Regions from separate parts of the Mus musculus genome. Here regions 1, 2, 3, 4, 5 and 6 are each reported to be linked to region 7. Evidence: microRNA targets listed by miRTarBase, many of them from high-throughput screens and not tested one by one. Region 7 holds a microRNA gene; each other region holds the end of a gene's coding sequence. Distances are from middle to middle.
Evidence for each region. The annotated mature microRNA mmu-miR-10b-5p reads UACCCUGUAGAACCGAAUUUGUG and lies in region 7 at 1,488-1,510, shown strand. An mRNA with a match to its seed (bases 2 to 7 or 8) in the 3' UTR can be bound and repressed. Matches are read on the target gene's strand: a 7mer-m8 pairs with bases 2 to 8, a 7mer-A1 pairs with bases 2 to 7 and ends in A, and an 8mer does both.

Region 1: miRTarBase lists Cts8 as a target of mmu-miR-10b-5p. Seed matches in the 3' UTR shown: 7mer-m8 at 1,065-1,071.
Region 2: miRTarBase lists Ccl9 as a target of mmu-miR-10b-5p. Seed matches in the 3' UTR shown: 7mer-m8 at 1,646-1,652.
Region 3: the mRNA of Cbfa2t2 is a reported target of mmu-miR-10b-5p. Seed matches in the 3' UTR shown: 7mer-m8 at 1,418-1,424.
Region 4: the mRNA of Fam219b is a reported target of mmu-miR-10b-5p. Seed matches in the 3' UTR shown: 7mer-m8 at 1,596-1,602.
Region 5: the mRNA of Dnajc1 is a reported target of mmu-miR-10b-5p. Seed matches in the 3' UTR shown: 8mer at 3,491-3,498.
Region 6: the mRNA of Ajuba is a reported target of mmu-miR-10b-5p. Seed matches in the 3' UTR shown: 7mer-m8 at 2,167-2,173.

The regions. Positions count from the first base shown.
Region 1 is chr13:61,244,637-61,248,693 of GRCm38, reverse strand. It overlaps Cts8 (cathepsin 8), which reads left to right. Exons shown (of 8, transcript NM_019541.3): 8 at 441-1,947. The coding sequence ends at 540. Among named protein-coding and RNA genes, the nearest start is that of Cts8, 8.7 kb to the left of the region's middle.
Region 2 is chr11:83,572,030-83,576,095 of GRCm38, reverse strand. It overlaps Ccl9 (chemokine (C-C motif) ligand 9), which reads left to right. Exons shown (of 4, transcript NM_011338.2): 3 at 145-253; 4 at 601-3,179. The coding sequence ends at 712. Among named protein-coding and RNA genes, the nearest start is that of Ccl9, 4.6 kb to the left of the region's middle.
Region 3 is chr2:154,534,704-154,538,759 of GRCm38, reverse strand. Cbfa2t2 (CBFA2/RUNX1 translocation partner 2) reads right to left here. Exons shown (of 11, transcript NM_172860.2): 11 at 1-3,876. The coding sequence ends at 3,580. Among named protein-coding and RNA genes, the nearest start is that of 1700003F12Rik, 12 kb to the left of the region's middle.
Region 4 is chr9:57,540,376-57,544,441 of GRCm38, forward strand. Fam219b (family with sequence similarity 219, member B) reads left to right here. Exons shown (of 5, transcript NM_001166364.1): 5 at 280-2,812. The coding sequence ends at 444. Mpi (mannose phosphate isomerase) reads right to left here. Exons shown (of 8, transcript NM_025837.2): 8 at 3,893-4,066. Among named protein-coding and RNA genes, the nearest start is that of Fam219b, 4.9 kb to the left of the region's middle.
Region 5 is chr2:18,213,962-18,218,027 of GRCm38, reverse strand. Dnajc1 (DnaJ heat shock protein family (Hsp40) member C1) reads left to right here. Exons shown (of 12, transcript NM_007869.3): 12 at 703-4,066. The coding sequence ends at 771. Among named protein-coding and RNA genes, the nearest start is that of Gm39761, 19 kb to the right of the region's middle.
Region 6 is chr14:54,565,591-54,569,656 of GRCm38, forward strand. Ajuba (ajuba LIM protein) reads right to left here. Exons shown (of 8, transcript NM_010590.5): 7 at 3,886-3,954; 8 at 1,879-3,466. The coding sequence ends at 3,341. Among named protein-coding and RNA genes, the nearest start is that of Ajuba, 10 kb to the right of the region's middle.
Region 7 is chr2:74,724,587-74,728,652 of GRCm38, forward strand. It overlaps Mir10b (microRNA 10b), which reads left to right and starts at 1,484; the gene lies at 1,484-1,551. All of the region lies in intron 1 of Hoxd3 (homeobox D3), which reads left to right. Hoxd4 (homeobox D4) reads left to right here. Exons shown (of 6, transcript NM_010469.2): 4 at 877-1,392; 5 at 2,290-3,119; 6 at 3,676-4,066. The coding sequence starts at 2,693. The coding sequence ends at 4,001.

The DNA.
Region 1 (4,057 bases), not on the chromosome of region 7:
CTTTCTGTGGAAAAAGCCCTTGTTCTTAGGCACAGACCCAACTCCAGCCCCAGGTGGAATCTTGGATTGAACTCCAGTCTTTTCTCTTTTGTGAACACCACTTGAACCTTTGAACACTATGGCTGGGTAATCAACTTATAGTATGTGTGTTGTTCAGATTTAGGCACTGGTTTCCTTGAGTAGTAATATGTTTGTGACACTGATTTTTCTAAAAGCTGAGATATTGTTGGTTCTGTGGGTGGAAAAATATCCTGAGTTTTCACTGCTGTGATTTGCACAGTCCTTTCTGAGATAACTTTGGTTTCTCAGAGTTGGATGTTTTGCATTTTCTGATCATGGAGTTAAGTAGGCTTCTGGATCAGTGGTTACACGTGGAGTTATTGTACTGAGTGCACTGTCCTGTGTTCTTTCTACTAAATGGGATACATGGTTTCTTTCAGTCATGGTGAGCAATGGGGCATGAATGGCTACATGAAGCTTGCCAGAGGCAGGAACAACCACTGTGGAATTGCTTCATATGCCGTCTACCCCAGAGTGTAAACTGCCTGATGGTAAGAAGGAAGGGTTGGAATGGAGACAGCCTGTGAAGTGGAGGCACTTTCTGTTTACCATGACCAGCCTCTGCTGCATGGATAGAGTTCATGAGTTACTGCAGAACGTGATGTAATGTGAATTCTGTTATGTTTTTATCCAGTAAGACATGATGGATACTGTAACTTAAGCACTTCACTTATTTGTATTTGATTCCCATAACTTGATTTTGTGTTTGTTTAATGATTGTATAAAACAATATCTTTAAAGAATATTTAAGTTCAAATGAAGTGTCTGTCTTCTTTTTGTTTTGAAAGTAGTGACTTTTAAATTGTATGTAGTTCATTTCATTTAATATATGTTTTAGTTAAAATATAATTATATTAACCCATTTATTTCTTTCCTCCAACAACTTTTCCTCCCTACCTCCTCACATATTCCCCACTCTCATCTAGTCTCAAATTGATTGGTTTTTTTGTTGTTGTTGTTTTGTTTGTTTGTTTTGGTTTTGGTTTTTTTTTTTGTTTTTTGAGACAGGGTTTCTCTGTATAGCCCTGGCTGTCCTGGAACTCACTCTGTAGACCAGGCTGGCCTCAAATTCAGAAATCCACCTACCTCTGCCTCCCAAGTGCTGGGATTGAAGACATGCACCACCACCGCCAGGCTAAATTGATTGTTTCTTATTCTCTGGTGATTTTCATTATATATACGTATATGTGTATATGTATATATTTGTGAATATATAATGAAACCAGCTGAAGGCTGAATCAATTTTTGTTCCTTCTATGTTCAAGACTTTAGGACTAATCACATTGTTTAGGTAGTTGATCAGGGGTTCACCCCTGGGAGTGCTCATTCTCCTTTTAGTATTCATAACTCCTGCATGTAAGGCTCAGGGAATATTGTGGAAGATAGGGCAGAATGACTTAGAGACAAAGGATCATGAAATATACAAGGAGACTGTATGTCCAAAAAATTGTTGCTTAAACAATATATGTACAATGACAACATCAATAGCCTTATCAGCTGGGAATAAGGAACAACTTTAGAGTTCCCACTGCCAGGTAATGAGCTACAGGATATTAATTTTGTTGTCACATTAATAACTCAGTATAAAGACATACATTTGTGTTCTGTTGATGTTCTTAGAGAAAGAAGGGTGGCTCTTTTGTTATTGTCAATTTTCCATCTTTAGTAATGTGTGTGTTAAATTAGATTTTGTGTATCGACTATCACTGTGAATCCCCCTTGCCTTACTTCCATCCTGTGTAGCATCTTCATTGTGAATGTACTGAAGACATCGGCAAAACTGGATCTGCAGTTACAGATTTTTATTCAAATGACACTTTCAGAAGTTTTAGTGTCTCAGAGGCAAGAGAGCTGAAACATGCCTTTTAAATAAAACCTCCTAGAATCAATGTTCTGTTGTATTATTTTTTGTTGTTAATGTTTGAATTTAGTTATCAGATGCACTGAACTTTGTCATAGACAGATAGATAGAAAGATAGATAGATAGATAGATAGATAGATAGATAGATAGATAGATAGATAGATAGGGATATGGATATAGATATAGAGATATATAGAGAAAATTATTGCAGGCACACACACACACACATTGTGTACATTCATATATGTCTATAATGGAACACACAAATATACACATACATAGTTTAGTACTTATTTTGTACTAGAATCTAATGTAGATTTTAAAATGTATCCAGAGTATATAAGAGATGATGAGCCTAGTGTTTTCTTATTTTAGCTTTCCAGTGGTTTCATTTTAGAGACAAATGAGTGTTTCTAGTGACCTTCACTACATGGAGAATACATTAGATGAGGTCAGAAAAATGGGTCCCTCACCATATAGATTGATAACTTTTGCCAAATCGAAGTTTATGGTGGTATTGGCTTTGTTATACCAGATTACATCATAGGAATGTCTATGCCTGGAAATTTTGATAGAGAGTTTATTTAAAGCAACTATCTCAATGCCACTGCGCTCCCAGCAAGAGATACTCCTACACATGTACTAGGCATGTCTGGTAGGGGTTGACTACAACCCAAGCTCCTTTAAAATATGACTTTATTTCTTGATTAGGGAATAGAAACATGTTGGCTTATAACTGATGATTATAGACAGAGATATGATCCAGCTAAGCCTTGGTTTTTGTGATATCTGACAATTTCCTACAGACATAATTAGAACATTATATTTTGTTTCAATTTGGTGAGTCTGGTAACATGCTCTCTAGAGGCTTTTTTCTTTCTTTCTTTTTTATTAGATATTTTATTTATTTACGTTTCAAATGTTATTCCCTTTCCTAGTTTCCCCTTCGAAAATCCCCTATCCTCTCCCTTCTCCCCCCTCCTCCCTCCCCCTGCTTCAGTCATGGAACATGCTGGTTCTTGTTTAGGAATGCTCTGCTAAATATTAGTTGAGGTTTTCTACCCTATATTAGATCATTTAATTCCCAAATAAAAGAAACAAAACCTTTATATTTATATATTATATTAAGCCTTAAAAGCACTTAATAGCACTATGCTATTTTATCTACTTCCCTGTCAATAAGCCAGATACATAATTTTCTATCTTCTCTCTAGACCTCTCCTACTCGAACTGGTAGGCCCTTATGACCATGTTTTCATTATCCCCCTTCCCCAGGGTATCTTCTTCCTTCTTCCCCCTTTCTCCCTTTCTTCGTGGGGGCCTCTGCCTCATATCCCAAGCCTAAAAACTGAAGCCATGTCTACTTTTCTTCTGCTCAGTTGCAGGCTGTAGGCATTTTAATTCAACCAATAGTTTTAAATTGGGGATCAAGGTGTGCAAAACAAAAGCTGGCATACATGGGAATTCAGTCATCTTGAGGTAGCTAGACTTTAGGATACAGAATTCAGCATTACAGTACACAGCAACAAACAAAACTTCAACATAGGACTGCATATTAGAACTGTGAGAAGCTATATTGCATAGAGAGACTTTTCTATAAACATCTAGGCTAAGTAGTCTCAATAAATGTGCCTAGTATTGTGGGCTAATGTGCAAGAATCATTACAATATGTAATAATGACAGGAAAGGCATATCAACAATAAGAATCAATCCTGAGTTGAGATCTCTAAAGGCCCTTCAATTCAGAGTTTACCCATACTAGCCATGCAAATACAATGGTTATTCTCCAGAAAAAGCATCTACAAACCTTTTATCTATCCTTGATGTGTCCTAACCAAACTGCTCCTTTTTCTGGGCATTGAAGTCAATAATATGGAAAGATTCATGATCATGCATCGTAAAGATGTCATCATCAATTATTCTAATTATTTAGCTTACAGAATTTAGAGTGCCATAGTGGAAGCCTCTATTTCTGAGATTATTCCTATTGTATGTGGCCTTTCTGTTCAGAATGAAAACATGACCCTGGCTTAGATTGCATTTCTACTGGACAGCATTCACTGGGACGGCTCTTAAGATAGCCATTCATTTCCCAGGTATTAGCTCTTTTCAATTCTCTCCTCTTTTTCCCTTCT
Region 2 (4,066 bases), not on the chromosome of region 7:
GCCCACTCAAAGGTGCAGAAAGAGATGACAATGAGTGCAGGGTGAGGGGAAGCCTCCCCTGAGTCCCGGGGCCTTCTTATGCCCCCATGGGACCATCACCCCAGCAATGACCTGGCCTTTGAGTGCCCCCTTGTTTTCTTGCAGGCTTTCAAGACTCTTCAGATTGCTGCCTGTCCTATAACTCACGGATTCAGTGTTCAAGATTTATAGGTTATTTTCCCACCAGTGGTGGGTGTACCAGGCCGGGCATCATGTAAGTGTCAAATTCACTCATTGTGTGTTATGGGGAGGGGGAGCCTCCAGGATCTTAGATGGCCTGGTGGATAGACTTCCAGAGAAGACCCATTCTTGGATCTCACCAGGTGGGAGGGGGGATACTTCAGGGTGTAGAGAAGGAAACAGCTAGCAGAGTCACTCCATGAGTCCTTAGAGACCCTCACAGGTCTAGAGGGGGCCCCAGAGAGGGGATGATGGTGCTGAGCTACCTCCTGGAAAGAACAGACTGTTGAGTGGAAAATCAGAAGGTTCAGAGGATGGGGCTCCCACCACCCCTTTACTAGATTAACTCTGATTATAATCTTTCTTCTCCTTTTTCTTCAGCTTTATCAGCAAGAGGGGGTTCCAGGTCTGTGCCAACCCCAGTGATCGGAGAGTTCAGAGATGCATTGAAAGATTGGAGCAAAACTCACAACCACGGACCTACAAACAATAACATTTGCTTGAAGAGAAGGGTGTGAACTGCCAGCTACTTTCTTTGGTCTTCCCCAGTGACCACCTAAGTGGCTCTAAGTGTTTATTTTTATAGGTATATAAACATTTTTTTTTTCTGTTCCACTTTAAAGTGGCATATCTGGCTTTGTCACAGAGGGGAAACTTGTCTGTGCCAACCCCAGTCATCTGAAAACTCAGATGCCTGGAAGGTCTGAAGCTGACCTCAATGACTACACATAATATTTGATTGAGATAAATGGGCAAGGTCTGGAGAGATGGCTTGGTGGTTAAGAGCACCTGCTGCTCTTCCAGAGGACCTGGGTTCAATTCCCACTTAGATGGCAGCTCAAACTATCTATAATTCCAATTCCAAAGAAAACTGATGCCCTATTTTGCCCTTTAGTTAGTAGTATTTACAGTATTCTTTATAAATTCACCTTGACATGACCATCTTGAGCTACAGCCATCCTAACTGCCTCAGAATCACTCAAGTTCTTCCACTCGGTTTCCCAGCGGATTTTAAGTGGATAAACTGTGAGAGTGGTCTGTGGGACTTTGGAATGTGTCTGGTTCTGATAGTCACTTATGGCAACCCAGGTACATTCAACTAGGATGAAATAAATTCTGCCTTAGCCCAGTAGTATGTCTGTGTTTGTAAGGACCCAGCTGATTTTCCCACCACCCCTCCATCAGTAAGCCACTAATAAAGTGCATCTATGCAGCCACAGGTCTGTCTGCCTCTTTTGCTTCAGTTTCCTAGGACTATGGGCTGAAATTGGGCTGTTAGGGAGAAAGCATCTCACTCGCTTTTATTGAATCTGCAGTGGAAAAGAAACAGAGGGAGTCAGGTAACTTTGAATATTTTCTTCAAAACAAAAGATATCATGGTACAATTTTTTTTTAATTTTTTGTTTGTTTGTTTTTGTTTTTCGAGACAGGGTTTCTCTGTGTAGCCCTGGCTGTCCTGGAACTCACTCTGTAGACCAGGTTGGCCTCCAACTCAGAAATCCGCCTGCCTCTGCCTCCCGAGTGCTGGGATTAAAGGCGTGCGCCACCACCACCCGGCCCATGGTACAATTTTTAAATTTCCAGAAATATAGTTTATTCCAATGTAGACTTCATATCAAGGATGTATTTTACCCACTATAGAGAGAATCATTAAAGTGATCTACAAATCTTTGGAAGTTCTCCCTGTTCGATAAGATCCTCAATTCTATTCGAGGATCTCAACTTGGTCAGCTTGTTTTTATACCAGTCTCATGCTGTTTTTTTACTGTGGCTCTGTATGATAATCCCTTCAGCAGTGTCTCTATTGTTCAGGGGTGTTTGGGTTACCTAAGATCTTTTGTGTTTCCATATGAATTTTAAGATTGTTATTTTCAAAATCTGTGAAGAATTGCATTGGAATTTTGATGGGAATTGCAATGAATCTATAAATTTTTTTTGATAAGCTGACCATTGTCAAAATATTAAACTAGACCATGAGCATAGGTGGTCTTTCCATCTTCTGGGTCTTCTTTGATTGTTTTAGAGTTTTCATTGTATAGGCCTTTTGCTTTATTCATTAGGTTTATTCCAAGATATTATTTTGCAGGTATTGAGAGTGGGATTTTCCTCCCAATTTCTTCCTCAGTATGTTTGTCATTTGCTTATAGGAAGACTATTGGTTTTTTTGTATGTGCAGATCGTGTCCTGACACTTGGCTGAAAGTGTTTATCAGCTCTACGAGTTTTCTAGTGTAGCATTTAGGGCCTTTTATAGAGAGAGAAAGAATGATATCATCTGCCAATGAATATTGCTTGACTTCTTCCTTTCCTGTTTGAATCCATCTTGTCTCCTTCTCTTGCCTTACTGCTGTAGCAAAAACTTCAAGTACTCAGCTGAAAAGAAGTACTGAGAGAAAGTATCCATGTCCCTTTCCTGATTTTTAGCAGAAATGCTTCCAGTTTTTCTCCGGTTAGCATTCCGTTGGCTACAGGCTTGTTGTATATTTCCTTTATTGTATTGAAATACGTTCCTTGTATTTCTGTTGTCTTCAGGGCTTTAATAATGAAGAGCTGTTGGTTTTCACCACAGGCATTTTCTGAATCTACTTTCTGCTTTCTTGAATTGAGTCCATTTATACAGTGGATCTCATTTACTGATTTATGTATGTTGAACATCCCTGCAAGTCTGGAATGAAGCTCTTTATGATTTCAGAAAACAGATTTTTCTTAGTCCTCATTTGTAACCTCTCCCCCTAGCCTGAAACCTGGCTGCTCAGGTTTCACTGTTAGCAGGAAGAGAGCGTGGGGTGGACCTACCGCCCTATCGTTCTGCCACTCCCACTGCGGCTGCCTGCCACCTAGCTGTTCCTGAGCCAACACGTGGTCACCTGCAACTGGACTCCTAGGATGATTTGGCGGGAATGGGCCCCTCCCCCTTTTTATAACCCAGTGTCTGGAATAGTAAAATTGAACCTTGGTCAGACGGTTGTCTTGGTTCCATCTTTCTCGAGCCGCCTAGCTCCCTCTTCTCTTCCAGATTCCAAGATGCCTTCCAGACTAGAACCCAGACATGTGGGCCACTGGCCAACCACAACAGATTTGGGGAACCAACTCGGGACTTTTGCTTAAATCACACTGTTGTAGTTTGATGCCCACTTGATCCCTCAAAAAAATCTCATATGGATGTTGGTTTCCCCACAATTTTTTCTACTAGCCAACAGAGAATCCTGGGGTTTGTTTTAGTATTATTCCATGTTTCCAGTCATACCATTGGCTTCACGGTAACTACTTCATTCTAGGGAAAGTTCTTCCAAGACCTCCTAACTTTCTATTCAAGTCAGAGGAATTATGGTGGACCTGCCCGTCATGCTGGAACGCCTCCGCATTACATGCCAGCGTTCATTCCCCCACGATAGGCAGCCCACAGCTTCCCTCTTTCTTTAGCTTGTATTTTGTTTGGCTAGAGTATACTCTTGAACTTCCTCTTTCTGCACAAGATGACAAAGGCAAACTCTCTCCCTCACCCCTGTGGGACGCAGGCCAGGGACATTCAATTCCCTGTCTGACCATGTTCCTACTCCCTTCTGGAGCTTCAAACCCAGTACTAGGGTTACAGGCAAGTAAAAGAAAGGGTTTACTCTGTGACACTGATGGTGACACTAGCTTCCCGACCAGGCAGATCACAACCCTGGGACCAGCACCACCAATTCCACGGCTCAGTTGCAGGATTATAAGAGACATAAGCACTTCTGTTTTATTTTGCTAAAAACACATTTGTGCTTTCTTCCAATTTCTTTAACATCAACTAAGAGACTATCAATCGGTATTTAAGGTAAGATACTAAAAGGATGTTTCCCAAGGGACATAAC
Region 3 (4,056 bases), 80 Mb from region 7:
GGAAATGGGTGTCAACATGAGGCAGAAGCAGGTAGTCAGCATTTTGGCTTTAAAGGAATATACTTGAGTGGCCAGGGTCTGCTAAGCAGCTGCTGGATCAAGGATCTTCCACAGCTGGCCATCTGGTCCACAATGGCCAGTTCAGTTCCTTCTGGCTTTTCTCACATTTGGTTCAAACATGCCACCACCCAGTTCTCTGCAAATAGCTAACATTCATCAAAGTACACTGGCTTAGTCTCCTGAGCCAGGAGCCTGGAAACCTTGGTTCCAGTCCAGTTCTGAAGTAAGCCTCCAAGACGTGTCCTATTTGTAAAGGTTTATTCAACCCACAATCCTGTCTGCAGTTTTCAGAACGAAGGCCATCTGCTCACTCCTTATGCTCTAGGGAGAACCACTAACACACACTTGCAGTTGTGTTGAGGCCTCACACACCTGCTGAGATAGTTTCCAGAACCACTCAGAAAAAAATGTCTTCACTCTCTCTGAGAAGGTGACAAGAAATGACGGTAAAGCTGACATCAAGATTTGAAGCACTCCCTGGGGATCAAATGGGTAAAGGAGTCTACATTACAGAAGACTGACAGCCAATGCCTGGATAGACCTCGGGGGGCCAGACAGGTTATTCCATGGAGACCCATGGCTGCACATAACTTAGCACCTTAGGAGAAAGCCACTCACAGCCTGCGCCCTCACCTCCACCTCCCTGCATGAGCCAATCTGAAGCTGCAGGGCCCTTCAATGAGTCTCTGTGGGATAAGTCTCCTGTAACTCAGGCTTGCTATGCAGCTATGGATAACCTTAAACTTCTGGTCCTCCTGCTTCTACCTCCTAAGTGTTAGAGGATTACAGGTATGTGCCACCATGGCTGGTGTATGCCACACTGGGAATGAAGTCCATGCTACCAAATAAGCCATGTCCCAAGCTAGCTTCAACAAGTCTTCATTTGCTGGAGCGAGGACTGGTGTGCAGAACTCCCAGTTTGGCTACTTTTGTTATTTACTTCCTGAAATTTTATCCCTCACTTGGTACAGAATGACCAAGCCCTGACTACTTTTCTTCCTCAAATAGTTACTGCAGAGGCCAGACTTGTGAGCAGCCTGAAGCTCTATGTTCACTCCCAGCCTGGTGGCTCATATAAGCAGACTTAGAAACAAAGCGGTGAGCCAGGAATCACTTGTAGCTCCAGCTCCTACTGCTGCTGCTCCTGCCTAGGGAGGAGTTGGAGAACTGCAGAAAGGAACTCCTTAAATCTGAAAAGTCCTAAACAGATGTCACGTAAGAGTGATGCTGAAGCCGGGCCATGGTAGTGCATGCCTTTAATCTCAGCACTTGGGAGGCAGAGGCAGGCGGATTTCTGAGTTCAAGGCCAGTCCGGTCTACAGAGTGAGTTCCAGGACAGCCAGGGCTACACGGAGAAACCCTGTCTCGAAAAACCAAACCAAACCAAACCAAACCAAACCAAACCAAACCAAAAACAAAACCCCGAGAGTGATGCTGACCAGAGGCAAGATAGAGACAAGTCTGAGAACTGAACTATATAGTGTAAAGTACTGTCCGAGTGTGTAGACAAACCTGGGTAGGACACAGAAGCAAAGCAGTCCCCAACAGCACTATAGAAACTCAGAATCGGACAGGCCAATCACACAGCCCACAAAGGTAGGCTAGATTTTGTAACCCAGTTTGCTGTACAAACTGATCTCCAACCAGGTAAGTAGTAATGTATTGGTTCTAGCTCTTTATTCCAACTATCTGGAGTAGTTCTGTGGCAAAAAAATTTAACACTTAAAGGGTGTTCATCCATTTTACTACTGAGTAACTGACCAGGGCACACCAGGAGACATTCTCATGTTCACAGAAGCTCCTGATCTGCCCGAAGTTTTGTGTCTGAGTATGGACAAGTGCTGTCTGGTACTAACTCTATCTAGTAAGTCAAAGTTGTCCCCACTAGACTGATGGGATGGGACCAGGGAGGCCAGGCTGTACTAAGCTGTCTGGCAAACAGTGGGTCTTGGGTATTCTATGCTAAAATAACATGATTTTAAAGGTCTACTTTCTAAGTCTGAGAACCCTTGTTCCAATGAGATAGGAACTCAGTATTTTTAAATCAGCCTTAACTGTGTGCAAAGACACTAAATCCATACTTTTATGGGGCAAGTGTTAGTATTCAGACTTGTTCTTCAGACTTGTTCATTGTACAAAAAGTGACCACAGCTTCCAAAAGCCAACAGGATCAAAGGCAATGACTTATCCCAATTGACTGCACAGGGCAAAACGATTCTGGAGTATACTGAGTGGCCGATGCAAGGTGCTGACAACTAATAAACTTTAGATGGCAAGGAAAAGATGTGAGCAGTACTTGGCCTGATCAATAGGTCCAATAATGACCAGATCGATGTCTCCAAATTCTATTTGGAGAATCAGATAATTGGAAAAGTTCCTGAAGATGGGAAAAAAAAAAAAAAAAAAAAAAAACAGGTCAGGCTCTTCAAAAACGGTTCCCATTCTTCACAAACTCTGAGCTGTGAGGGAGACTATAAACACGGAGCACAGAAAAAGGATGCCTCAAATGTCCACCTGATAATAAACCTATGAGGTGGTGTCAAAACCAGGTGCGAATAATCCCATCAGGGTTAGGAGCACTGCTTAGGTGCCAAACAGAACCTACTCACAAGACATCCCCAAGGATCCAGACATGCAGTCCCAGAGAGAAGGACACATACAACAAGGCGACTGTTTTAAACAGTCAAGCAGTGGCAGAGGCTCTGCATTTCCAAGGTGATCCACGGAATATTTTAGTTTGGCCAACATGCTTAGAGAAAAGACTAGCACAATGGCTCCATCCTCTCTCAGACCGATCCATGCGATGGAGATTATTTTTTACACAAGCAAAATCAAGAAAAACACTGGAGTTAAGAGGTGGGTTCCAAACTAACGAAGACAGCCAAGTTAGAAAATCTTGTCCAAAATGATCCATGATGCTTGGGAAGACTAATTTAATTTTTTATCATTACTAGAGATTTTACTGAAACAGTGACTTCTTTCTTGCATTTCTGAGCATCTTAACAGCTCTGAGCAGCTCAGGAGAGAGTCCTGAGTACTGCTTTTGTGCTATCCAAGTCTCTTTTAGGCCAATCAGTGTCACTCGAGGGTGGATATGGGGCTCAAGGAACTGTTTGAAGACAGGGGAAGGAAGGGCCTCCTCCTAAGCCTGCTACCAGTCTTCAGGCCTCTACTGTGGACAGTGTGGGACACTATTGACAATATGCTAATGCAAGGAGTCGGAGGGAGCTGGTGTATACACTGAGAAGGGGCTGGTTATGCCAGCTTTAGCTGGAAGAGGAACCTCAGGAAAGCCATGGAGGAGGCAGCTCAAGCTACTTCCTGTGTGCAGAGAATGATACATTAGTTCTTCCAAGGACACGTGGCAAATCCCAGAGAAGCTGTGGAGTGCCTCTTGGATGCTTCCTGCCAACTTCACTTCTTGCTGACGACCCAACAGCTACTTGTTCTAATAGCCAGCTCACTGGTGCAAGCATGCTCCCATGTGGAGGGGTCATCAGGACAGGTGGAGTCTGTAGCTTAGAGCCCGTTGGCATCAATGGCTGTCACAGAGGCAGGTGTTGAGGACCGTGAGGTGGTAGCTGAGGTCTTGTCCAGGGCTGGGCTGGGCACACTGCAGTCAGCAGACCTGGCTGAGCCCCGCCCTCCAGGGAGCAGTGGCCTGCTCTGGCTGTGGGGACTGTGGCCATGTAGACTCTGGCCACAGAGGCGGTGGTGCCGCTCCCAGTCCTTATGCTGGCAGAAGGAGCCGCAGTAGCGAGCAATGTTGCAGCCACTGCACGTCTCACTGGCTTTTCGGCCACAGTTCCAGCAGTTCTGCAAGACACAGGCGTCAGTTAGTGGCTGCTGACATCTTGATGGGCAGGCTCGCCACTGTCACTTGTCATCTGCATGGTACAGCAAGGACTGTGGCGCTACAGACCTGTGGGTAAGTCTCTGAGGATGCCCTTTAACTCTTGATCCTCCTGCTCTCCCTCCCAAATGCCAGGGTCATGG
Region 4 (4,066 bases), not on the chromosome of region 7:
TGCTGGGATCAAAGGCATGTACCACCACAGAGGACAGCCCCATATTCTTCAATCTTGATATGGATATCTGGGTGACAGATTTTTAAAGAGAAGCCTGGCTGGTTCTCAGTGAGCCTCTGGGGAGTTCCTCACTGCTGGAAAGACACTGCACAGAAAGGGCCGTCCTTCTGTAATGCAGGATGTGCAGAGGCCTGGGGCTAGGTAGAGCAGGGACCTGCCTTTAGGCAGCAGCTCTGTATGCCTCGCATCCTGTTTTACACTTCTGTCCTCTTCCTTTAGCAGGTGAACCAGGATGTGAGCCGGCAGCTGCTGCAGGATGGATATCACCTGGATGAGATTCCAGATGATGAGGACCTGGACCTCATTCCTCCTAAGCCTATTGCTTCTTCCGCGTGTTCTTGCTGCTGGTGCTGCCTTGGGGATTCTTCCTGTACCCTCCAGTAGCCATAGCCCTCCAGGATGGGCCGATGGCCCCAATGGCCCTTCACAGTGATACTCAGTGCACTGGGTATCACCGCCAGCCTAGAACCACTGGAGGCATTGACCTCTGGGGAGGCCAGTGGCCTACAGGAGCCCTCACCTGGTGCTTCTCATGTCAGAGGCCCCCGTCTGGGTCATAGGTGATAGGTGGAAGTCGGCAGGTTCCCACTGGGGCAGTTTCAGGAAGCCACTTTAATAAGGGAGGAGAAACTTCCTGAGGTTCTTATGCTGATTGCTAAGAAAACCATTTACAGACATTCTGACTCCTCCTGAGGAGGGAGAAGAAAGAACGAACTCCTTCACTCAGGCTGTGCTGGGGGTATGGTGAGAGGCAGAGAGCAGCACTTTATGGCTTGCAGGAGGAATCTCAAAGAATACAGCTGGGAAGCGCCAAGTGGGTTGTTCCTTAGGTTACAGCAAGGAATCTAACTTAATGATGGAGTGGGCCTGTGGCTTTCAGAACCTCTGAACTTGGACCATTCTGCTGGCCCTGCTGTCTGGATGGGCTTAGTAACTCTGTTGGCCCTTCCCCTGTTACAAGAGAACTGCTCTGTTGTATATGTTTATTTATCTGTAGTTCCTTGGCATTGGAGAGTTTCTCCGACTTTTTTTTTTTTTTTTGAGGTAAAAATTGGATTGGCAGGAATCTGCAGTTTTTGTTATTACCAGCAGAGGGAGCTGCTGGGAAGTTAGTGCCTTCCTATGTTTAGCTGTGTAAGCTTTTGAGAAGTATTGATGGATGAGAGGTGTCCTGGTGTAGCTGTGTGACTCTGGCCTACATGGAAATGTTTAGACAGGATGGGAAGGGGAGACTTAAGCCAGCTCCTGGACCCCACTTGAGTTGATGAATCTGCAGTGCAAGGAGGCCTTCCCTCTAACAAGGCACATTTCTCTCCCCAGCACAGGGCTCACAGGCTGGTAGAGCACTTGCCTAGCCTGTGCAAGGCTAGGGCTGATGCACAAAACAAAACAAAAAAAAAAGCCTCTGGGAGAACACAGCTAAGCCCCAAGCCTGAGACTCAGTACTAAGCCTCTTCCTGGAATCTAGTTTTCCCAGTCCCCCTCTGCCCGGGTCCTCCTCTTTGGGGTTTTTTTTTTTTTTTTGGTTTTTCGAGACAGGGTTTCTCTGTGTAGCCCCCTGGCTGTCCTGGAACTTACTCTGTAGACCAGGCTGACCTTGAACTCAGAAATCCACCTGCCCCTGCCTCCCAAGTGCTGGGATTAAAGGCGTGCGCCACCACTGCCTGGCCTCTTTGCTTTATCTTACCCAGGTGTGTGGTGAGGCTTGGGGTAGATACGGTTCCCAGCATAAGGGGCGGCAATAGTCAGAGTTAGGGGTTGGGCACCACATGTGACTGTCCGTCCAGTGATTACTGGAGGCTTAGGAGAAATGATATGCCTGCTATGTCCTTTCATAGGTAGTAGCAAAAAAGGTAAGATCAAAAGATAAGGCTTTCCCTATTACTTGGCCACAAATCTGTTCTCATGATTGTTGCCAGTGCCTAGCAGGGGGTTTTGTTGTTGCTCTCAGGCTGTGGAAGGCTGAAAAGAGTATACTATGTCTAGGGGCTTTTTACTCGACTGCTTGGCAGCATCACAAGAAGGAAGATGGGACAGAAGCCAGAGGCACATCTACTTGGTTCTTGGGTTGGGTCATAGATGCTGCCTGGGCTCTACAGTGGGAGTCTGCAACTCTGTGCAAGGATCTCATTCTGAGCACTTTATGTATGGCCTGCAGGGAAGGAACACAGACCATATCCAGGCTTCTAGGGCTCTGCAGAGGTGGAGTCCTCATGTGCAGAGGGAACAGAGATAGTACAGAGTAGAGAAAGACTTGGTGGTAGGGCTCAGTGAGGCCACAAGGGCTTGTGGAACTTAAGTGTGGAGTTCTATTTCTGTTTGGTTAAAACAGAGTAGCCTGGACATTTGGCAGCTCCTGGGGGTGGGCAGTGCCCAAGAAACCACACTCTCTGGGGTAGTTGTACTTGGCTAGAACTGTCCCTGGAAGGAAAGTTGTCGAGCTAGGTGGCCTCGTGTGGAAAAGCATTACTTGTGGAAAAAGCTCAGTAGTGTCCAGCTAGGAGGGATAGAAATGGGCAGCTGTTAGGGGACAGACAAAAATAACACCAATAAAGGCACAGAGGTGCTCACACCCTAACTGCCTTAATTCCAAGGGCTGGGTGTTCTGCGGGAGGCTGTCCCTGGGAAGGAGGGCGTCTGAGCCTCCTCAGGAGTGCCTGTGCCTCCCCCACGTTTGTTTACACTGCCCCTCAGTCCTCTTTCTTGCCTTGCACTTTCATAGTCTGTTATAATAAATGCAGTCCTGGTAGTGAGCTGTACTGTGCTGCAGTGGGTGGCTTGGTTTGGTTTGGTTGGTTTGATACAGTTTTTCTGTGTAACCTTAGCTATCCTGGAACTCACTCAAACTTAGACCAGGCTGACCTCAAATTTAAGAGATCCACCTACCTCTGCCTCCCAAGTGCTGGGATTAAAAGCCAGCTTTGGTTTTTTAATCTTATGTGGGGGGGGGGGGTACACTTAAGTGTGTGTGTACTACATGTATGCAGGTGCAAGAGTCCATAGAAGTCAGAACAGGCGTCAAATCTCTTAGAACTGGAGTTACAATTGTGAGCCACCACATGGGAACTGGGAATGAAACCTGGGTACTCTGCAAAGACAGCAAGTACTTTTTAACTGCTGAATTGTGTCTCCAGCCCCCAATACATAGCACTAGCCTGAGCTGTCTGATAACCTCAACAATACATAAAGGGGCTACGAAGATGGCTCAGTTGTTAAAGTGCTTACCATGCAAGTATGAGGACCTGAGTTCAAATCCCTGAGCCCTCACCCCAAGCACCCAAATAAGAAGCCAAAAGTAGTGGCACACACCTGTAATCCCAGTTCTGAGGAGGTCAAGATGAAGGACCACTGAGACCTGCTAGTTAGTCAGTCTAGCTGAACTGGTGAGTTCCAGGCACCAGTGAGAGACCCTGTCTCAAAAAAAGGTGATGGTTCTTGAGGAGTAACACGCAGGTGCATGTATGTGCACATACATGCCATGTGCACATACATGCCATGTGCACATACATACCATGTGCACATACATACCATGTGCAAACACCAGGGGCCATTAGGAAGCAGAAGCAGAGCTCCAAAGCCAACCTTTGGAACATGAAGACAGTCTCAGAAAAAGTCAACTACAGGAGCAGAAGGCCTCCCTGCAAGCTGTCCAACTGAGGCTGGAGCTGGCTTCCTCTCCCACCCCTTCCTGTAAAAGCATTCTGGAATCCAGCCTGCCCACCCCCACGAAGCTGTATGAAGAATTCAAACCAAACCTGGACATCATCAGAGAGCTCCTTCCTCCCACATCAGGGACAGGCATACCAAAGGCTGACTGCTCTTCACTCTGTATCCTCAACACAAGTGATCTTTAATTACTTTGACGGAGCTAGAGGGAATACGCTTCATTAGTCCACTGGCCTACCCCTTCCCTTCCTTCCCTTCCCTTCCCTTCCCTTCTCTGCAGCTGAGAGCATGCTGAGCTAATGCTGGGGGATGCATGCTTTGTTAGCCTAACACCTCAGCT
Region 5 (4,066 bases), 57 Mb from region 7:
GAGTGGCCATGGCTGTTTCTGTGCTAATACTTTGAAGGCATGGGTGGGTGATGGTGGAATGTAGGGAGGCACTCACCACAAGATGCTCATCCTACACTGATGCACCCATCCTGTCCCGGGTACCTGATTAAGGACACTGTTTAGCACAGCAGTCATTTGCCCTGGACCCTGAACTAACATGCTTACAGTACCATAGGGTTGGTATCATCTAGACAGGAAGAGAATAGATTCTAAAATATATATCATGCCCACCTGAAAATAGCGGCCACTTCCTTCCATCTTCTCCACCTTTCCCACTCCATGAGGTACCGTCCATGCTAGTTCTGTGCTGCATAGGAAGGTCCCAGCAGCCACCAGGGAGAAGCACGAGCAAAGCATGAGAGCATTGTAGCCCCAGGTTTCTTGGATTCTCTGGACTGGGATGTGATGAGAGGGAGTTCCCATGGTAGAAGGGTTAGCAAGCTGAGTGGGGACGCCACACTGCACTCCATAGGCAACCCTCAGCTATTCCTGCAGCAGATCTTCTCTGACCAGGTCTGCCTGGGACCAACTAGGCTTTCCCAGAAGATTGTAAAGGAAATGAACACAGGCTTCTTCATTAGGACTGGGCAGTAACTCGCAGAGAGGTCACAGCGAGCTGACAGCACCAGGAGCACTGACCCAAGAAAGAACTGTCACCACCTCTTTCTTTATTTCCCACAGGAAGACTGCATTGCTAGATACAAGCTGCTGGTTGAACTGGTCCAAAAGAAAAAGCAGGCTAAAAGCTGAATCTTCTGGAAGGTGACGATCAATGACCATCATTTTCCAAACAAGTACTCGAGAAATCTCATGCAGAAACTTATATTTTGTACCTCAGTATTTCTAAACATCATGTGCCTTAGTAAAAAAAAGAAAGGAAGAAAGAAAGAAAGAAAAAGAGAGGGGGGGGAGAAAGAAAGAAAAAAAGAAAGAAAGAATGAATCAATTATAGATGCTGTAAGGTGCCATTTACAGGCCTTCCTTGTGTTTCCAGGGGAGAGTGTGGTGCCAAAAATATGAGGTCCTCTGTTGGCCAGCGAAGGAGGGAAAAACAGGTGCACCAGGTGGAATTTGAGATAAAGCAAATAAGTTTGATTGTCAAATGAGAAATTTAAGCCTGGAAGGTGGTTCAGTGGATAAAACCGCTGACTGCTAAGCCTGCCAGTCTGCACTCACTCTCCAGCAAGCACATGTTCACAGGAGCTGTCCTCTGACCTCTGCATTCATATTGTGGTACAGCACACACATCCGAGCCCACATAGACACATGCACATGAATACATGGATCTAAAATTTTTAAAGAATTTCTTGCTTTTGTTTGAAACTTGAAAACGCTTTGGGCTTGTTCTTCAGTTTTGTTGTGTTTTGGAGAGAATGCTTTGCTTTTGTGTATGTCTGTGTACCAGAAGACGACATTGGATCCCATAGATCTGTTGTATGGATGGCTGTAAGTCACCATGTATGTAGGTGATGGAAATTGAACTTCAGTCCAGCCCCTTGTTTGAAACTTTAGAAGGAAACTTCAAACTGCTGCCAAGCAAGAGATGTGCTCCACTGGCTACAGTGTGCTGTTTGTGGTCATGCCCAGTTCTACACAATGACACCTCAGTACCCAGTATGTTACTGTTAGCAGGTAAGGCCTCTCAGTGTGATGAGCTGTTGCCAAAACTCAATGTCTGCCCCTTCGCCTAAGGTCTCAAAGACAAACCAACAACTCCAAAGTCCATGCAGGCTAACCTTATATAGTTTATATAGGGTTACTTACAGTGGATGAGGGCTTATGGGTTGGAGCAGAGGTGACCTTAAAGCAGCCACACTGGAAGGTCTGCAGCCGGAAGGGATGGTGTCTTCCCAAGGCTTCATTGAGGGAGCCAGCTTCCCTAATCCTTCCTACCTACAGAGTCTAACACCTTCCAGAGACCCTAAAGCACATGCAATTAGAACAGAATTGCATACAGCTGGATAGTGGGGGTTGCCTGGCTACTCACATAACTGTTCCATGACTCCCTCCCCAACCCCTCCTTTCCAAGATGTGAGTCCAAGTCTGTCAAGCAGACCCAGCTGGCCTCCTGAAGGTGGTGGCAATTTGACCTATTATCATGGGCATAACCACACACAAAGTCCCTAGGAAGCCAATGGTCTTCTTCCTCTCATTGAAGAACAGGCCTGGCAAAGATGCACTCTGGCTTCAGCCTCCAACTTCCAGCAGAGCTGCTTCTGCTTTTAGCCACTATGCATGTTGTTAAAGAGTGGTTTTCTAGAGAGGCCCTGTCCCGTAAGTACCTGTGGACTGTCGTTAAGGGTGTCAGACATGGCCTCCCACTTACTACTTACTTTTCAGCTCGTTATCCGTTTCCTGAACCTCTCCTCACATCCAACTTGCTCGCATCACTGTCCACCCAAGTACTGCACCCATAGCATTTTCTGATCCTGAAAATCAGTATGAGTCCTCTTTTGATCACATTCTTTCATGGGAATAGAAGTAAATGCCCCACATTCTGGGACGGAACTCTCTCAACTAGTAGAGTACTTCCCAGCATTCATGAAGCCCTGAGAGTCTATCCCCAGCACCCTATAAACCTGGGTGTGGTGCTGCATGGCTGTCCTCCCAGAACTCAAACCGTGGGAGAATCAGGTCACCTTTAGATACAGAGTGAGTTCCAGGCCAGCCATGCTGTGGTGGTCTTCATGAGATGTCTCCCGTAAGTTGCTAGCATTTGAATACCTGGCTTTGTTCCAAAAGCCATTTCAAAGTCAGCTTTGCTGCTTGTGGCTCCTGTAGGCCACTCATCCCATGAACTGCTACTGCCACCTCCATCTAGCCACCAGGGACTCATACTCTGGAACCATAGGCCCCAGATAAACCCTTTTATAAGTTGCTTTGGTCATGGTGTTTTGTAACAGCAACAGACAAGCAACTAATACAAGGGGGAGGGGGAGCAGGAGAAGAGGGGGAGAGAGAACAAGCGGTGTATTCAAAGTTGCCACTGATTGGTACTGAGCAGAGCCACTGGGGGTCAGTATCCCTAAGGGACCCGAACTTGCTTTTCTATGCCAGAACATGTCCACGTGTTCCCCTGAATTCTTCACATCAGCCCCAATCCCCAGTCCTAACATGGGTCCTATCTTTGCTACCTCTTGTCCCTCTGTACTATGACATCTTACTTCTGTTCTGTGATCATGCTATGTGATACTGGTGCAGTGAGCCAAGCAACACATAGGGCTTCCACCTCCTAGTCTTCCCCAAACAGCCAAGACTGTTTAAAGGCCAAGTATTTAAATGCTAGAGACTTATGGGAGACAGCTCACTGAGGCCACAGCATGGCTGGTCTGGAGCTCACTCTGTAGCTAAAGATGACCAGATCCTCCTATGGTTTGAGTTCTGGGATGACAGCTATTCAGCACCACACCCAGGTTTTCACCTATCCTGGGGCCTGGGAAGGGCATGGGCAGGTGAGGGGCCCTGAAGAACAGGGTAGCTGGTTTGCTGTAGTGGAAAGGGTCTCAACCCCAACAAATCTCAAGTTCCACACTGGCTCTATCCAGGAAACTATCCCAGACAGCACTACAAAAAAAAGTCAACAGGTATTACCTGCCTCAGATAATTACTGTGCAATGCTTACATGGCCTTGTGTGACTAAACCATTGCCTCACTAATCTGTGAAACAGGGAAAACAGAGTCTGGCTATGTCAAGTCTAGAGGAAGCTTGCTCTTGTGGCAGCAACCAAGGAAAGAAAAGCAATACATGCTTGCCAGGAGTCACCATGTCTTACAGAGCAGTTTTGAGGAAATCAGATGAGTCAGGTTGTGTGGCCCAGCCCAGAAAACCCCCTTCAGGCCACTTCATGCTATTCCAAGTTTGCAGCACGAAGAAGGCTGGTGAGAAGTAACTGGATAACAAATCTCCTGGGGCCCTCGATCTAGAAAACAGCATGTCTGGCTCTGCCTCTCTTTCCCTCACTGCTGTCCCCATCAGCCAGCCCTGGGGCCCATGCTTTGCCTCTTGCCCTGTGCAGCTGCTGACAGCAGCTTAGCTGCACACATG
Region 6 (4,066 bases), not on the chromosome of region 7:
CTTGCCTAGCAAGCCCAAGGCCCTGGGTTCGGTCCTCAGCTCCGGAAAAAGGAAAAAAAAAAAAAAAAGAATTTGCTGGGCCAGCAAAATGGCTCCATGGGTAAAGGCATTTGACCAGAATTCAAGAGGGTATACCTCTGACCTCTAGATGCAGGTGGCGGTAGGTAAATTCCCCTGCCCCATAAATAAATAATTGTAAAAAGAAAATTTAAAATAGAACCAGGCAAGCCGGGTGTGGTGGCGCACACCTTTAATCCCAGCACTTGGAAGGCAGAGGCAGGTGGATTTTTGAGTTCGAGGCCAGCCTGGTCTACAGAGTGAGTTCCAGGACAGCCAGGGTGATACAGAGAAACTCTGTCTTGGGGGGGGGGGGGGGGATGACAAAAAAACAAACAAACAAAAGAAACCAAACCAAACAAAACCAAACTACCTGGCAATGGGTGGTGGTGGCACCCTCCTTTAGTCCCAGCACTCAGGAGGCAGAGGCAAGCAGATCTCTGTGAGTTTGAGGCCAGCCTGGTCTACAGAACAAGTTCTAGGACAGCCAGGCTACACAAAGAAAATGTCTTGAAAAACCAAAAATAAAAATAAAAAAATAAGGGGCTCGAGGTTAAGAACACTGACTGGTCTTCCAGAGGTCCTGAGTTCAATTCCCAGTACCCACATGGTGGCTCACAACCACCTGATTCTCTCTTTTGGTATGTGTGAAGACACAGCACTCATATAAAATAAATAATTAATAAATCAAATGCTTGATGGTACTGGAGAGATGGCTCAGTAGGTTAGAATTCTCACTACTTCTGCAGAGGATGAGTTCAGCTCCTAGCACTCACACAAGGTTACCTCCCACTGCACGTAACTCCAGCTCCTGGACGGAGGGCCTGACAGATAGCCTCCTTTAGTCTACTTGGACAACTATGCATACACATGACACTGACACACATACACACACAAACACAGAAAGAGAGAGATTGATTTAAAACAAGGGCTAGAAAGATGGCTCAGCAGCGAAGAGCACTAGTTGAGTTTTCAGGGGACCCAGGTTGCATTCTCAGCATCTATGGCAGCTCACAGGAAGGAGTCTGTAGCTCCAGTACCAGATGATCTGAGAACCTCTTGTTCAGAGAGCTCCATGGGCACATGATGCACTTAAAGGCAAAACATTCACAAAATTTAAAAAAAAAAAATTTTTTTAAAAATATTCTCAAACCACTTTTTGAGTTTTAAACAAAATGTTTGATCAATGTTTATTCTCCCCATCATCTGCCTTTGATCCTTCTGCTTCCTTGCTTGCTGGCTTGGTTTGTTTTGTAGCTCAGGCTGCCACATAATTTGCTAGTAGAACAGGCTAGCTTCTAATCCAGAGACCCACTTGCCTCTGTCTCCCAAGTGCTGGGCTTAAAGGTGTGTGCCACCACTGCCCAGCTTCTTTTCTTTTCCTTTGTTTTCTGTTTGTTTGTTTTCTGCTTTGGGGGTTGTTGCTGTTGATTTGGGTTTTTGAGACAGGGTTTCTCTGTGTAGCCTGGGTTGTTCTGGAGCTCATTCTGTAGGCCAGGCTGGCCTTGAACCCACAGAAGTTCTCCTGTCTCTGCCTCTTGAGTGCTGGGATCAAAGGTGTGCTTCTGCACTCAAGAGACCCTGCCCATGTAATTCCCAGAATGGCTGGCACAGTTTTAGAATAACCCTCAAGGGTGGGTCTTCTGTCCTCAGGTCAGTCATTTCCAGACTCACTTGTTTATGACACAATCACATTTTAACAATGTGAATGGAGAAGCCAGACCAAGGCGAATCCATAGAGCCCCTTTACATCTTCAAGGCATAAGGCTTCAAGGATTGAAGCCATAGTGAACAGCAAAGAAGAACCACAATACACTCACAAAGTGTCTGCATCAACTGTATTTACTGCTAGAATTTCAACTTTTTCTTTCTTAAGTGTCAGAGAAATAATGGCATAGTAGGAAGACACCCAAGGAGGCAGGGAACATTTGTATCACAAAGTGCCACAAAGTTGATAAATGTAGGTTGCTAATAACTCTGAAGTAAGCCAGGCGTGGTGGCGCACGCCTTTAATCCCACGCTTGGGAGGCAGAGGCAGGCGGATTTCTGAGTTCAAGGCCAGCCTGGTCTACAGAGTGAGTTCCAGGACAGCCAGAGCTATACAGAGAAACCCTGTCTCGAAAAACCAAAAACCAAACAAACCTCTGACATACTCTTGATGAACAGGCAGGAATCACTGAATGCTCAGTGCAATGAAAAGAACAAAACATGTAGGCAGCTATAAGAACACTCAGTAGGGGACAGGACTCTTGGCAACCTGGTCATCAAATGAACTTGAGTTCCAGCCAGCAAGTGACCTGGCTTTAAGACATCCTGCTTAAGGGGAATTCAAGTTTCAGCCAAGCGGCTAGAACCAAGTCAACCTATTTTTCTTCTCTCCAGCTTCCCCAATGCCTTGAGTGGTGGGGTTGTAACAGGTCAGATCCAATGCAGGATCCCTTTTAAAAAGGGGTCTCAAAAGATAGGCTACTGCTAGGGAACTAAGCGTAAGTCACCTGAGAAAAGAGGAGTAGGGAGGGAGGTGCACAGGCACACGTGGCTACAATGTATCCACATATGCTGGGCTACAGGCTCAGTGCACTTAAACAGGGGGAGTGGGGCTAGCCTGATGCTTCAGGGACATCCTACTCACCGGCAAGTTTCACATCCAGAAACCTGCTCATTTCTTCCCCCAGAAGAGCAAAACAGCAACCAGGGACAGGCCCCAGTTAGCCTCCCCAGGTCCCTGAGAAACAGGCAACACAGGCAGCAAGGTCCCCCAGAGCTGGTCCCAGTCCCAGCAGACAGACACGGGGAGCTCTCTAGTCCTTAGGGAGAGAGCCAAGAAATGGCTCATCACAAAGTCCAGGGCTTCCAGCCCTTAGCGCAGACAAAGATAGGATCCCGTGGGAAAGGTTCCACTGACTCCATGCATAGGGTACAACAGACTGGGGGTGGTTTCTGTGATGCCCTCATGTGATCCAGCACCAGAACATTGTGTGACGTATATAGAAACATACACTGGAAAAATACATTATAATCTGGCGTTCAGGAAGTACTGAAACCCGCCTGCGTGTGCTACATCCCATCTACTGTAGCACAGGCTGCACGCAATGAACACCAGTCAACTCTCCCGGCAACCAGAAGGTTCCTCCTCCGCAGCCCATTTGGAATGTTAGGATCTTTGGGTCTCTGGCCTTCGGGGCCTCCCCAGAGACCTCTTCACAAGGATTGCAGAATACACTCCTTGCCTCCGCTGGCCAGAGAGTTTCTCCACAGTGGTGGTGGCAGCAGTAACGTCAGCTCAGATATAGTTGGTAGAGGGCTGCCGGGCACTGAGGCGCTGCATGTGACAGCCGTGGCAGAGCAAATGTCCATCAAGAGGGAAACAGCAGCAACCTTCCTCGTCACTCAGCTGCATGCGGCAGTCCTAGGGAAGAAGGCAACTGGTTCACTTCCACCCAGGCTCCCTACCCTGAGGCCATCCTGGGAGACTCCGGGTGACTGGACAAGTGAGTGGTAAGGCCCCAGGGAGGGTGAAGGGTGAAAGGGTGGACTTGAAGTGAAAACCCGAGAAATACTTCTTCTGGACACCAGGGGTCGCTGCAGCAGCAGAAATCATGAGACAAGCCCCATTCCAGCAGTTCAGAGGCTGGGGAAGCCAGATTCCAGATTTAAAAAGAACTAGGATTAGAAAGAAAAGCTAGAGGACAAGAGAGACTGGACATAGGTCACTGCAGTGTCCTGGTTTTCTGTATCCTAAATCCCTCCCACAGATGCCCAGTCATTCCAAGAATCCCCCTTCCAAATTCCGATTTCCCCACATCATCCCCGAACCCCAACACTTACCTCACAGTGGTAGCACTCAAAGTGATAATCACGGTCCATGGATATCACCCTCACAATGTCCTCACAGCCCTGAAACACGTAGAGTCCCATGGGGGATAAGCAGAGCATGGTGTCCCCAAATCCCCATCCCATACCACAGAAACCCTCCTGCTCCATCAAGAGGGTTTATAAAGGCCTCTTC
Region 7 (4,066 bases):
ATCTCTGCTGAGGCTGCTTGCTTGCTGGCGCCTTGTAGCTGCCCACAGCACAAAAAGCCGGAGAGATCAAAAGCATTTGTATGGGCAGTTGAGAGGGAGGTGAATATTTAACGCTTTTGTTCATCAATAACTTGTTGGCTTTGACCTGTCTGAACAAGTCGAGCAATAAGGTGAAATGCAGGTCACAATGTCTAACAAATATGAAAATGTGTGTACTCATCTTGGTCCTCACTCAACCCATCGGACTTCCCCAATTTGTCTGGGTAAAACAGAGGTAGGCCCAGTGTCCCCAGAAAGGCCTGTCAACGTGTCCATGGGTGAAAGGGCTGGCATTAGGAGAAACTGGGGAGAGTCTTTAAACAAACGGATTTTAACCCCCTTTTTTTTTTTTAGAACTGACACCTGGGAAATCCCTGCAAAATAGTGGAAGTGAAAGATGGTGGGAGGGCATGGAAGGGCAAAGTACAGGGTCAAAGTGAGCACCTAATTTTGCCAGATATGATGAGGGGAGTCTCCCTGCCCCACCCCATCAAAATCAAGGCATGGGGCTTGAAAGTGATTTTTCGAATTATATAGGAAGGGATCAAAACAATACTTAGAAATGTGGACATCTTCAATCTGTTATCAGGCATCCATAAGCTCGGCCCAGGCCAGGGCATCCCTCTGCCCCTGAAATCAGCCCAGCCCCAGAGTGCATCTGGGCTCTTGATGCCCTGAATTGAGGGGCAAGCCCAGGACAGCGGAGGCGCTGGGGCGGCGAAATTCGCGAACTTTTGTACTCTTCTGTGCTGCTGTCGGCAAAGCAAAAATAATGAAACTTTGTGATATGTTTGTAAATGATTTCGAATGACCCCTCGCCCTGCCCTTCACCATTAGCTCGACAGTCTCAGCCCAGGGAGGCTCGGTGGCCGCAAACAGCGCCTGCCTCCGGGTCTGCAGCAGCAGTCATAGCAGCAGCAGAAGCAGCAGCAGCGGGATCCGAAAGTCCGGCGGGGCTGAGGGCCCAGAAAGGTAAATGCTCGAATTCTAGGAGGACTAGCTGTGACCACTCACTTGGCTTAGGTTCTGGTGAAGACTATTCCTTTTGCCTTTTTCAAAACTCCCTTTCTGCTGCTGAGGGCCTTTGCTTCTTTTTGGGAAATACCACTTGATAAGGGGGCGGGAGATTTGGGTTCTGAGAAGGGGCAATTAAGCCGCCATCTCTGGGGTGAAAAAAAAACTCCCCTTCTTTTCTTTTCTTTTTTTTTTTTTTAAGAAGAAGAAGGTCCTGGCTGCTCAGCTACTTGGTGGCCCCCATCCTGGCAAGCCGATGAGGGAACTCATTGCTGTAGCGAGCAGCAATACTTAGAAATGCACCGAGCCTACCTGCACCATCTCTGAAAGCCAGGCTTGGTGAGTTCCTGGTGGCTGTGCTGAAGAGATCAGGTCTGGCAGCTGCCTGAATGTCTGCTCTGGGTAGGACCCGAGGTTGTAACGTTGTCTATATATACCCTGTAGAACCGAATTTGTGTGGTACCCACATAGTCACAGATTCGATTCTAGGGGAATATATGGTCGATGCAAAAACTTCATATATCTCCGACATGGCCAGAGACTGAGGCGCGGAGAGTACTGGCAGCCCAGCCGGCAAGCCACCTCTTTCTTTTTCATTACCTTAGACTCCAGGATGATCGACTTTGCCTGGTGAAATTGTACAGCCTTTTCCTGGAGAAACTCCTATAGATATTCCAGTAGGTGCTCAAGTGGTTGTCTGAGTGTAAAGCCAGAGAGCCAGGTTTTAGGGTATTAGAGAGTGAGGTGAAAGGCCAGAAAGCTCCAGCAGAAGCCCTGCTCTGAAGGAGCATGAGACACAAAGGTACCCAAATGGGGCTCACCTGCCCTTGTGTGGGAAGAAGACAAACTGAAAGATAGGCCATCGGAGACCGTTGGGGTACATTTAGGCAAGGTTAAGGTCCCCCTCCCCACCATCCCAATATGACCCAACCCCTCAGCCACCAGACTCAGAACTGTGAGGGCCTCCTGCAGAAAGATCCAACTTCAACTAGAAACACCCCAGCCTGCGCATTGGCAGAAAAGCATAGTGGTTACTCATTGCCTAACTCAATTCAGGTCCGCCAGATTCTGGTAACTTTTGGGTGACCCTGATGAAGACAAAGCCAAGACAGGTCTTTGTATGTCAGAGTCCAGGACTCCTGCCAGCTGGCCGGGCAGCCTGCCTGCCTGCCTAGGACTCTACCCAACTCGGAGGCCACATTGCCCACACTCATTCTTCCTTATTTTGCACCCCAGTAGGAGAATTCACTCTTCTTTGAACTATGTCCATTCTGGGGGCTGCTTCAGGCGATGGTGAGTAAGGAGGGCATGGGAGGTTAGCAAAGTCAGTGGAAGACAAAAGCCGAGATTACCTGCCGGAAATTGGGACCCCGGGGATAGAATTAGAACTCTATTAGCATCTGTCAGGGACTCTCAAATGTGGCATGGCAAGTCACTTGATTACACGTATGTTATTTAGTTAAATTTGTGAAAATTATGAGATGCTCACCAACCCGGTGATAAACATGCTTTCTTCCTATTGGCTGGCCTGGTCACATGGCCGCCCAACTTTATTCAGTTGACAGCAAGTAGGAGGGCCCAATGGAAGGAGAAAAAAGACAACACGAGAAAAATTAGTATTTTCTACCTTCTGAAATTAATGGCCATGAGTTCGTATATGGTGAACTCTAAGTACGTGGACCCCAAGTTTCCTCCGTGCGAGGAATATTTGCAGGGTGGCTACCTAGGCGAGCAGGGAGCCGACTACTACGGCAGCGGTGCACAGGGCGCCGACTTCCAGCCCTCGGGGCTCTACCCACGGCCCGACTTCGGCGAGCAACCCTTCGGAGGCGGCGGGCCCGGGCCTGGCTCAGCGCTGCCCGCGAGGGGTCACGGACAGGAGCCGAGCGGCCCGGGAAGTCATTACGGTGCCCCGGGAGAGCGGTGCCCAGCGCCCCCGCCTGCGCCCCTGCCTGGCGCTCGGGCCTGCAGCCAGCCCACCGGCCCCAAGCAGCCGCCCCCCGGGACAGCACTCAAGCAGCCCGCTGTGGTCTACCCTTGGATGAAGAAGGTGCACGTGAATTCGGGTAAGGAGTGGGGGCAGCGACCTCACAGCCCTCCCGCACCACTCCTTGCATCTTTTGGCCTGCACCCCCCACCCCAGGGGTTGCGAATGGGTAGGGGCTTGTGCAGCTTCCTTGGGCGCCGCAATTACTCTCTCCATAAATTTTTATAGCTGAGGGAGCAGGCCGGGACCATGTGGCTGGCTGCTTGGCTGTGGGCGCAAAAGGGGGTGGGGATGGGGATGGGGTGGGGGGAGGACTCCATTTCCACAGCAGAGGGAACGCAGAGCAAAACAAGGACCTTTCCAAAATGTTGGCGATACCGAGCTCTTGGTGGGCCAGTGGCAAGGGAGAACCTTTGAGGAGGACCTGTGAGCGTGGGGAGTGTGTGCATGGAAGGGCTTGGGTGGGAGTGTGTGTATGTTTAGGGAGAGGGCGGGAGGGAGGAAGCTGGCCAGCTTGGAGCACAGGGGGGGCCCGAGGGCTGCGAGACGCGCCAGGAAGTGAGGGCAGAGGCAAGCCTGGGGCCTAACTAGTGGCCGGGCTCTGACCTGGCTGTCTTGTATGTTTTGTCTCATAGTGAACCCCAACTACACCGGCGGGGAGCCCAAGCGCTCCCGGACGGCCTACACCAGACAGCAAGTCCTAGAACTGGAAAAGGAATTTCATTTTAACAGGTATCTGACCAGGCGCCGTCGGATTGAAATCGCTCACACCCTGTGTCTGTCTGAGCGCCAGATCAAGATCTGGTTCCAGAACCGGAGGATGAAGTGGAAAAAAGACCACAAACTGCCCAACACCAAGGGCAGGTCTTCTTCCTCATCTTCCTGCTCCTCTTCAGCTGCCCCGGGCCAGCATTTGCAGCCAATGGCCAAGGACCACCATACGGACCTGACGACCTTATAGAAGTGGGGACCCTGGGCCTATCCCTTCTTGCACTCCAGGTTGAGGCGAAGCTGCGGGTGCAGGCG